2 linked regions of the Schizosaccharomyces pombe genome follow. The protein of the gene in region 1 interacts with the protein of each later gene in a pairwise test. Each region holds a gene or a part of one and is shown on either strand. Other genes may lie near its edges.

Region 1 (6,803 bases):
AATAAATGTCCATTCTTTAGTTAACTATTGTTAAAAATTTAATGTGAATCTTACTAATGATGAAACAGTAAAAGCATCCTATGTATCATCAACGATTTAAGTAAATTGACGTGCGAATAAACCGTAGAATATTGGATAAAGTGACAGTTTGACGGATCCATGCATCGAGAAGATGAAGACTTATTACATAAAGTTATGATGAAATTGACGGATTTCATAAACTGTGCAAGTTAGCTTTTTTAAAAAAAAAAAAAAAAAAAAAAAATATTATTATTGCGCGTATATTTGAAATTGTTTTTGGTCAGCAATGTAGTAGAATTCATCGTGAGAAAGAAACTTAAATTCTATATTTATTTTCTAATTAACTGAATTTAATTAATGAATTAATTGATTAAGTGTCAACCAATGCGTAGGCTAGAAATAAAAAATTGAAACTAAAAAATCGATAAAATAAAATAATAAAAAATATGCGACAGATGAATGAAATAATACTTTAAAAATATAAAAACAAATGAAATCAATAAAACTAAATAAAATAAATAATAAATTACATTCAATGAAATAAGGTAAAGTTAACTCGACTCAAAAAAGTAAATAAGTTCATACCATGATATTCTACGTACAATCAATAGACATCAGTAAAGACTATATCCATGAGACTAGTTCGTGAACAATATGGGAATATCAAATTCAGATATGAAAAGAACAGTCTTTACAAGTTAAGTTAATAAGCCATATGTAATGAACTCTACCTAATTTCAAAACAACCAAAGCATACGTTGAAATATTAAATAAGATCCATTATCAAAAATCCATTTATTTAAAAAAACAGTACGATGTTTAAGAAAACACAAAATTTTTGTATATTCGGTTTTTTAATGCTCTTACTAATACATTTTCCATTCTCACCGCTTCATACATGGTTTTTTGCATACTGTTTTTTATTTTTTTCTATATTTTATTTTCCCATCTACTCTTTCTCCTCTATAAGATGATTTCCATATTTCCGAGGAATTTCAATAGCTAAGATGCGTGGGTTTTCCTTTGGTATCCAGCAACCTAACCAGGTCGATAAACGCTCACCCCCATTTTCTCCTTTCCTCTTGCAATCTATCCATCACATTGCTATTTGCCGAGAAAAATTCATTTCATATCTCCGTCGATAAATATAGGCTTTATCGCACGTGGTTTTGAAATCATTATCGTTCTTTATGTAATTGGCCAAAATCGATCTACACCATCTTGTCGAGACTCGAGCTCAGTGATTTACGATTTTTACAAATCTCAGCTACTTTATCTGCATGGAGTATAAAAATTAAAGTGGAAATATATTTTGATAAAGTTGGTATTGCTGAACTGAATATATGATTATCTCTTTTCCAAACATATTCTCTCAACATCAAACAAAAGCATTCAGCAACTACAACAGGCAATTCAATCTCCCTCACCATCACTAAATAGTAAAAGTTGGTAAAACCATTGCAACCCGCTCGCCCACCACTGTTGATAGTTTCTCTTCCTTGAACATCCGTTTTAACGCTCTTCTAAACGCTTTCTCTGCAATCAATTCTCCTTTTTGTTCGTTTTGGTTTAGCACTATTTAATATCCTAATTGCTCTCGTTTGATCCTTGATTGTCATTTACCGTGTTGGTTCTTATCCCCTATCTATCGTCGATTATTTCTTACAAAATTGAACACTTACACCGTTTATAGTGTTGCTCATATACCCTTATATAGATATAATTATATATTTAGATATCTGGGAAGTTCTTTTTTTTTTTTTTTTTTTGGTCACACCAAAATCTAGTTTCATTAAATTTGGTCATCCTTTTTCTGCAAGTTGGATTAATCTTTTTATCCGCTTCAGGCAACCATAATCACATCTTTCTTTTTTTAACCCTGAGGCCGCAAAAATTTGTCGATTTTGGCCATCAGCTTTTGTTTACGTAAAACTGAGAAACCACTTACATTTGTTAAGTCTCTTTTGTCTTGCTCCAAGTCCATAGTTACACTCTTGCCGGGTTCTTCGCCATAACACAAATACCGGTTGTTTTACTACATAAATTTACCTTATCGTAGTTTTATCATTTATTTCGAATCCGGTTATCCTTTTCTTCCTAGAAGAAAATACTCTACTTATTGCACCTAAGGCTCGTTCTGCTGGACTGGTTGACTGTTCAGTCCATCGTTTTAACGCAGTCTTCCGCGCTCTTTGTAAAACTGCCTCCCTTTTGGTCTCGCTTTTTCGGTGCCTGATTGTTACCCCTTCGTTACTTGATAATTTCATTTCTGCTGATTGGGCCATATTACCTGAACCACCACCACCGCAATTGGATTTTCAATATAATTACCCGATCTCCTTCCCTATCTAAGCTCACACATATCTGCATAAACAAAATTTGCCCACAACCATTCTTCTTCTACAAGTATTAAAAGACAGCTTATAGATAAAGTTACTTGTATTGTTTTTGATCGTTATCTTTTACTATTTAATAGTACTGTTGTCGATAAAGTTTAAGTGCTCTTCCTTTTTCTCGGAGTCTGAGCGACTTTGCCTTGAAAATTCATTTATTTCTCGTTTTTTCCTTCTCTTTTCTACGCAAAGTTAGTTTTTGACTTATCTTTTTCACAACTACTATCGCCGTATGAGTTATTTGCAAGGATCTTCTTCTAATAAAGATTTTTTGCTCTCATCACGATTTTTTTACTTTTCATCTCAGTTCTTTTGATCTGTTGGTGTGATAAAGACTCTTTTCATTAGTTCACTCTCATCTTACTGGATTTGGTGAATATTCTCCATCAAAAAGCTTCTTCACTTCTTTGAATTTGCTTTATGATAATTGACTTTTTGGTATCTATTTCTCCGCTCAATTCATAGGTTGCATCTTGGTTTATTTAACCACCATTGGAAACTGTTCGAATTCTCCAAGGTTTCTTTACTCTTTTTTTTTTTTACATTTTTTGCTTTGCCATTCCTTTTCATAGGATAGGCTCTTTGTTTTCTGCGAGTCGGTTTTCTATTTATTGTATCTTTAACTTTTTAACTTTGTTGAAAAGTTTCCTTTAACACTCTGTTAAAACTTTCACGTTCTTATTTTTGTTCTTATTATCCCATCCGTAGTATCTCTCGTACTACCTTTGAAATTTGGTGCCTTGGTACTTTAAGGCTTTTATTTTTTGTTGGTTTTACTGAACAGTATTACCTTTCCTATTTCTTTCCTTTTTTTGTCCTATGCTTGTTGTGTTTCCGTTAAAATTCCGGAAAATAAATCATTCACGAAGTTCTGTCACCTTTTAACATATTCTCTGTTAATAGTGATTTTTGAATTCACTTTTGGAGATTTATGCTTTTTTGCATCTCTCTCTGACTCCTTTATTCCCTTTTTATATTTATCATAATTGGAACGTGCGCATTCCTTTCTCTCCATTTTAATATTTTACACATATTTTTGTTGTTTTTTTTTTATCAAGGAAGAATAATTTATTATTTATAATTTCTTGTCAATCCATTACGGAAATCTCAAAATTTTTTGAATCCAATCCATCGGTTCTCATCTGGGTTCAATCAATTTTGCAATTTGTACATATCGATACAATCGTTTTCTTGTTTTTTTTTATTTTCCATTGTGAATAAGCTTGGATCATTTCGTTCAGTACAACTCACTTAAAGCTAGCATTTACTTTGATTCGTTCGTAATTAACTTTTTTACATATCACCAAAAAAATGGCTGCGAAACCTGCTCCTTTTGGCCAAAGTTGTTCCAACTGCCACAAAACTACTACTTCTTTATGGCGTCGTGGCCCCGATAATTCCCTTTTGTGCAATGCTTGTGGCTTATATCAAAAACATCGCAAGCATGCCCGTCCTGTCAAATCTGAAGATTTAAAAGACATTTCTCCACTGATACAGCAAGTTTGTAAAAACGGAACCTGTGCTGGAGATGGATTCTGTAACGGTACGGGTGGCAGTGCTTCATGTACTGGTTGTCCTGCTTTAAATAATCGTATAAGAAGTCTCAATGCTTCTAAGTCTCAGAGCGGACGCAAAAGTCTATCTCCCAATCCTAGCAGTGTACCCTCTAGCACTGAAACCAAAGCTTCGCCTACACCTCTAGAATCGAAACCTCAAATCGTTTCAGATACCACGACTGAAACTAGCAATGGCACTAGTAGACGACGTTCTAGTCATAACCAGCATGAAGACTCATCTCCTCCTCATGAACCAAGTGTTACTTTTTGCCAAAACTGTGCTACCACAAATACTCCTTTGTGGCGCCGCGACGAGTCGGGTAATCCGATCTGTAATGCTTGTGGTTTGTATTACAAAATTCATGGGGTACATCGTCCCGTTACCATGAAGAAGGCAATCATTAAACGTCGAAAAAGGCTGGTTTTTAACGGTAATGCGAATGAGTCGCAACACAACTTAAAAAGAATGTCAAGTGGGGATTCCGGATCTTCCGTTAAGCAACAGTCTACAAGGGATGGTCCTTTTTCTAAATCTTTTCCCAATGGTAATGGCCATGCTTCTGGAAATTCTGGTGAAGGTCTGGCTGAGCATGGAATGAATACTGGAGTATTACCTCCGGCTAGTACATTTCCTTCATACAACAGCAATTTTACCGGGTTCTTGCCTTCTTCGTTCAATCCTTCACCATTGATGACATTGTCACGGTTAGCGGCTGGTGAACCTGATAATAATGGGAAAGTTTATTACTCATATGGTCCTACTCAGGAACAATCAATATTGCCTCTTCCTGAGAACAAGCATGAAGGATTGCCTCCTTACCAAAATGAGTATGTTCCCAATGGTATACGAGCTAATCAAGTAGTATACCCTGGTCAGCTTGTAGCAGTTGGCAATGATTCTAGTAAGCAATTATCGGAATCTACAACATCGAACACGGATAATAATGGCGTTGCAACTGCCAACCAATCCAACCCCTTAGGCATGAAGTTTCATTTACCTCCTATCCTTCCTGTTGGCGAGTCAGTCTGTTTGCCTCCTCGAACTTCTGCAAAGCCAAGGATTGCTGAAGGAATTGCTTCCTTACTTAACCCCGAAGAGCCACCCTCAAATTCCGACAAGCAGCCATCAATGTCAAATGGACCGAAATCAGAAGTTTCACCTTCGCAATCTCAGCAAGCTCCTTTAATCCAATCCTCTACCTCGCCGGTTTCTTTGCAGTTTCCTCCTGAAGTTCAGGGATCAAATGTAGATAAACGCAATTATGCTTTGAATGTTCTTTCGCAATTGCGTTCTCAGCATGATTTAATGATTCAGGAGTTGCACAATTTAAATCAGCACATTCAACAAATAGATGAATGGCTGAGGTCCTCTGACAATGAAAATATGGCTTCTGAACATATTAAATCCTCAACCCCTGCTGTTGTTGCATCTGGAGCTCTTCAAACATAAACTTGATTGGCATGTTTGTCGTGCGGCATATTTATTTATGGTAAACAAATTAGATATTATCCCGTTTAGCTGTCTATTACTTACAAGCATGACATTGTATACTATGAGTTTAGGGTAAAATACTTCACATGATTCTTATTGGTCTTTTGTTTTGCGTTAGTTTTGGTATTGGCCAAGTCCGTCTGCGGTGTTATATTCGTTAAGAGCTGGAAAATAATATTCAGTCCTTAGCGATTTACCGTTAAATTTAGAGTTAACATATATGTTTTTAATGAAATCCTATGTGGAGCATTTTTTATGATATTAATACGCATCGAAAAAGCAGATATTGAGAAAAAATAATACTACCGGATTTATATGGTATGTAGATAGTTAATATATTAAATATATTTAAACTGCCCGAGTGCAAACTCATTTGGAAATTGTCAATTCATTAATATATTTTTACAATTTTTCGGGGGAAAAAACATTTGTATACAACTATTTAAAACGGAAAATGGAGTTGCTTGTAAAAAGCAGTATCCATGGTTAATTAGTTCATTCGCAAAAAGTCATTGCTTGACTTTTAAAACTATATGATTAGGCTGAAATTTTAATTGTTCATTACAGCACATATATAAAAAACTTACACTTAATTTTCAGCTCAAATAACTTCGCTATTCATTATTTAATCTATTTAAATCAATAATAATGTAATTATGATATATATCATTTAGTTTTTCTGTTAACAACCAACAGTCCCGTGTTCTAGTGGTATGATTTCTCCTTCACACGGAGAAGGTCCCGGGTTCGATCCCCGGCGGGACTAGACTTTTTGTAAAATTCAACAATAGCGAACTTGAACCATAATGAGATGTTTTAGTATAATATTGATAAACAGTTAATCTACACTACTACTCTAAACATCCTAAGCTTTTCTGAATCTTAACAGCAATGTAACATATTTTTGGATTGTTATAATAATTTACTCCATTTGTTCTATTCTCCGCTGACTATACTTTCAAGTGTATTGTAATATTGTTTTCTGCAAGTTGAAATCAACGAGTTTAGGTAGTAGTCTTTAGCATGAAAGAGCTAACACATTAATGCAATAATTTGGAAAATGAATACAAATTAATGAACTTCACATTTTTCGTTCATCATTTCCAAAGTGTTAAGCCTGTAGAAGAGAGCAAATGCGATCGTAGAATAATACTCGCAATATGAATCAGATAAATAGGCAATTGAATGCCTCTCGGGCGTTCTTCATGGTATTCAAATAATTAAAGACACATGTATTATCTAAAAGAAAAATATAAATTCTGGATAGTCTGATAGATGATTGATTGGACTTGACATAAAAATGCTTATAATATTTGTCGTTATCCCATTATGCTATAATAT
Region 2 (3,901 bases), on another chromosome or scaffold:
CTTTCGGATATTTACATTTTAAAGTCAATAACAGGAGAAATGTTTCTACAGAGTAAAACCCTCTATCAACAAAATCCCCTAGAAATAAATATTTTGTACCTGGACATGACCCACCAATTCGAAAAAGCTCCAGTAAATCATGCAATTGGCCATGGATATCACCACAAATGGTTACAGGAGATGAGATCCATTGTATGTTAGATTCCTCAATTAAAATATCTCTTACACGCTGACAAAGTTCAACAACTACCACAAAACGTTAGACCCCATTCTTATAATTATGGCAAAGAACAACCAATATGAATGATCGTTGTTATATCGACGGAGATAAAAGTTATTCTATAAATACTATTATACATACCATTTGATTCTGGAATTAACCTTCCGTTCTCCAGTTCCTCAAGTTGCCAATCCAAATCTAAATCAGTCATTTTGAACTCGTCAAAACATAAAGTAAAGAAAACTAGAATAACTTGGTCCTTTAGAATAAGAAAATAAACAAGTGAAATTCTTTTTCAACTTTATGTATCATTTAAGAAATTTAATTTTAAATAAGTCAAAATACCTCTGTCAAGAGGTATGACGCGTAGAGCTTTGGTGACTAAAATTCGGTTTTCCTTTTGATAATGACTTTTAAAATAATTAACATGACCTCCTTAATTAGCAGCTTCCGAATTTTATTGACACATACGTTGCGTTACGCTAGATTGTTTTTCAGAAAAATACGGTTGCTCCACCATTATTAGTGCTTTCATCTCGAAATGAAATGGACACAAGTTTTTGTATTAGATTGTTTTTTTTTAATCATTTATACTTAAAATTAATGATGAACTAGAATCTTTTAATTAAGTTGCATGCTACTCCAGTATGATTATTATAGCATGCCGTATTATCATTGATCTTGAGTTTTTATAACGCTAATACAAGAACGTGCACCTACTCATATATATATCTAGATTATAAGAAAAACTCCTATAGTTCTAACGGATCTAAATTGTTCGCACAAATGCGCAGCTTTGATGTTATAGGGTTTTTGTGAAATAAACTACATAACACTATAGCTTCTTGGTAAAAATCAGATAACACTCACAATTATAGGTAAAATAATCTGTATGCTGAAGGCGTACCCCTGTGGCGGAATATACACTCAATATAGAAAAACTGTATAGTCAATTCGTGTTGCAAACCCATAATTTATGTGAAGCTTTAACATAATTTGCATACTATTCTTTACTTATGTTCAGTCGGCAACTCAAGATGTTCAAATAACTAAAAAGATTTTAGAAATATATTCTTTCTATCTTTCAATATGGTTTACTGCAATTTGCGTACTATCAAAAGAATGAGGTGTGTAAGAAATGCTTGCCCTGAGCAGTACAATGCAATTTTTTAATACTTTAACTATATCAATCAATGTGTATGCTGTTGTTTTTATCAAGTATGAAACATATCTCATCTTGGTTGTTTTGGTCGCTTGTTATAAACTCATTTGGCTAGTAAAGCGACTGTTAATTTTATGTACAACATACAAAAATAAAATGTTAACAGAATTGTTTGGGTATTACGTAGAATCGGAGTATAAGCGCAACACACTAGTTTTTTTTGCCGAAAAAATTATTTTCCAGACGTTTTAATACCGAGGGATAAAGTTATCTGATCAGTCACGATGGTAATTAAAAAAATGAGATCGAGAATGCCGTTTAATGAATAGACAATGAAAAAAGTGAAGAAGAATCATCAAAACGTACATCAAAAGTGGTTTAACTAAAAAATTTCGAGTAATTTACTTGGATATGTTTTTTGCTGCAATTATATCATTTGCGTCGCCTATTGTGCAAGGAAGAGATTTTACTAGATACGTTTTCTACACTGCTCAGCCGAACCTGCCGACAACCAACTAGGAAAAAATAGGGCGTTGATTGTTGATTAAAAAGAATAAACTAGGTTTTTGAAAAAAAAAGTAGGAAAAGAAATAATTCCTCAAGCTGTGCTATTTTGATTGGAAATGAGCGTCGAAATTACTTTTGTTGAACAATTTCAAGAGATATTGCAAAATGGAAAAGAGCAAATAATTTTACTCAATTTTTATGCACCATGGGCTGCTCCATGCAAGCAAATGAACCAAGTCTTTGATCAATTTGCAAAGGACACGAAAAATGCCGTTTTCTTAAAAATTGAAGCTGAAAAATTTTCCGATATAGCAGAGTCGTTTGATGTAAACGCTGTTCCTCTATTTGTTTTAATCCACGGAGCAAAAGTTTTGGCTAGAATTTCGGGGGCAAATCCTCAAAAATTGAAGGCTGCTATTGACGAGTATATTCAACCCCTTATCTCCCAAATATCCTCTACCAACGCGTCCGTGGAAACTCAAGTAAATTCCGTTCAGACTACCAACACTACTTCCAATACCTCTAAAGCTCCAAATGGGTTGGATTCTGAACTAAATGAAAGGTTGAGCACGCTAACAAATGCTCACAATGTTATGCTCTTTTTAAAGGGTACTCCTTCAGAACCTGCATGTGGTTTTAGTCGTAAGCTCGTTGGATTACTTCGTGAGCAAAACGTTCAGTATGGATTTTTTAACATATTGGCTGATGATTCTGTACGCCAAGGTCTTAAAGTGTTTTCCGATTGGCCAACTTTCCCTCAATTGTACATTAAAGGTGAATTCGTCGGTGGTTTAGATATTGTTTCGGAGATGATTGAAAATGGTGAATTGCAAGAGATGCTTCCCAATTAATTGTTATCTGTGCATATGAAGAATTGTACTTTTAATATCCTTAATCATTCTTTTATGTTGATGATTTTGTGAAAGATAACTTTTAAATTGGATAATCAGATAATAATACGATTGCAGATTTAGTTTTCTGTTAATTTAATTTTGTTAACTAACCGCCTCAACTTATCAAAACAAATGTTAATAAAACTATATAACATAAAATGAGTTTAAGCAAGTAAATAACGCATAATAAGCAACCAGGTTAATTAAGAATACACAAAGGAGCCAGAACTACCATTGCAACTATTACTTCGTACACTTTACCATTTAGCAGTACCCCCAAATTTCAGAAAAAATAAACAATTAGAGTATGCAATACAACTGCGCCAGTATCCACACAAAAGAACTAATCGACTACTACACCTTTCTCTACATTTTATTTCACAACTTAAAAACAACAGATTCTCATTCACGAACAATGCCTACTGCTCACATATTACATGAAAACCGAATACTGCTTAGCTCATCATCTACACACTTTTTGACTATGCACATCAAGTTATAACAATTCTCACAAACGATTCACGACAATTGTTACAAAGAAATGTACAGAAAACACGTCAGAAAACACCAGCTGCCCTACATGACACGACCAAAAGGAACATATCATGTAAGAGATCATCGCAAATAAAGATAGCACAACAATTAAGCAAAAAGCCAAATCGATCAGCACATCCTCAAAGAAGTAAAAATTCTCACTCTGCGGGCAACGGTGCCTTCTATCATCATCCGTGTTGAGTTCTGTGGCTAGGTTAGGAAACCCAAGCCGGACGTATACTATAGAAATGATCCTATGGAGTATCGTCGATGGTCTTCAAAATCGCGGACGATGCCTTTTTATAGTAAGTATTTGAAAAAAAGCAGTCACTTGGCTTTGCAAAAGCAGCCAATAATATTGGTGCTACCTTCTAAAAAATTTTCCACACCTTTACATCGTAAATTACGAAAACCTTTTTAGTGTGTTGTCAAACTTTAGGTTCTTAACAAATTTAGGGATACGAAAACCAACGGTATAAATTTATAATGCAACAAATGCTTATGCGGTGCAGCGTTGTTAACTACTTTAGTGTTGTAAGCCACGAGATGGGCCTTAAAGTTTTCCTCCCTACATAGTAAACAACT

What was found.
Region 2: the proteins of fep1 (region 1) and grx4 interact in a two-hybrid assay, tested with the Schizosaccharomyces pombe proteins (3 studies listed by BioGRID, with this or other methods).

The regions. Positions count from the first base shown.
Region 1 is NC_003424.3:439,844-446,646, forward strand, and holds fep1 (Fe-sensing transcription factor Fep1), read left to right. Parts: upstream 1-2,377; 5' UTR 2,378-3,725; coding exon 3,726-5,420; 3' UTR 5,421-5,878; downstream 5,879-6,803. UniProt on the Schizosaccharomyces pombe protein: Transcriptional repressor that binds the consensus promoter sequence 5'-[AT]GATAA-3' during iron-replete conditions to down-regulate transcription of target genes. Represses the expression of the iron transporter fio1 in response to high iron concentrations.
Region 2 is NC_003423.3:3,955,499-3,959,399, forward strand, and holds grx4 (CIA machinery monothiol glutaredoxin Grx4), read left to right. Parts: upstream 1-1,885; 5' UTR 1,886-2,005; coding exon 2,006-2,740; 3' UTR 2,741-2,981; downstream 2,982-3,901. Other genes in the region: pph3 (serine/threonine protein phosphatase), read right to left, coding at 1-246, 362-431. UniProt on the Schizosaccharomyces pombe protein: Monothiol glutaredoxin involved in the biogenesis of iron-sulfur clusters. Binds one iron-sulfur cluster per dimer. The iron-sulfur cluster is bound between subunits, and is complexed by a bound glutathione and a cysteine residue from each subunit.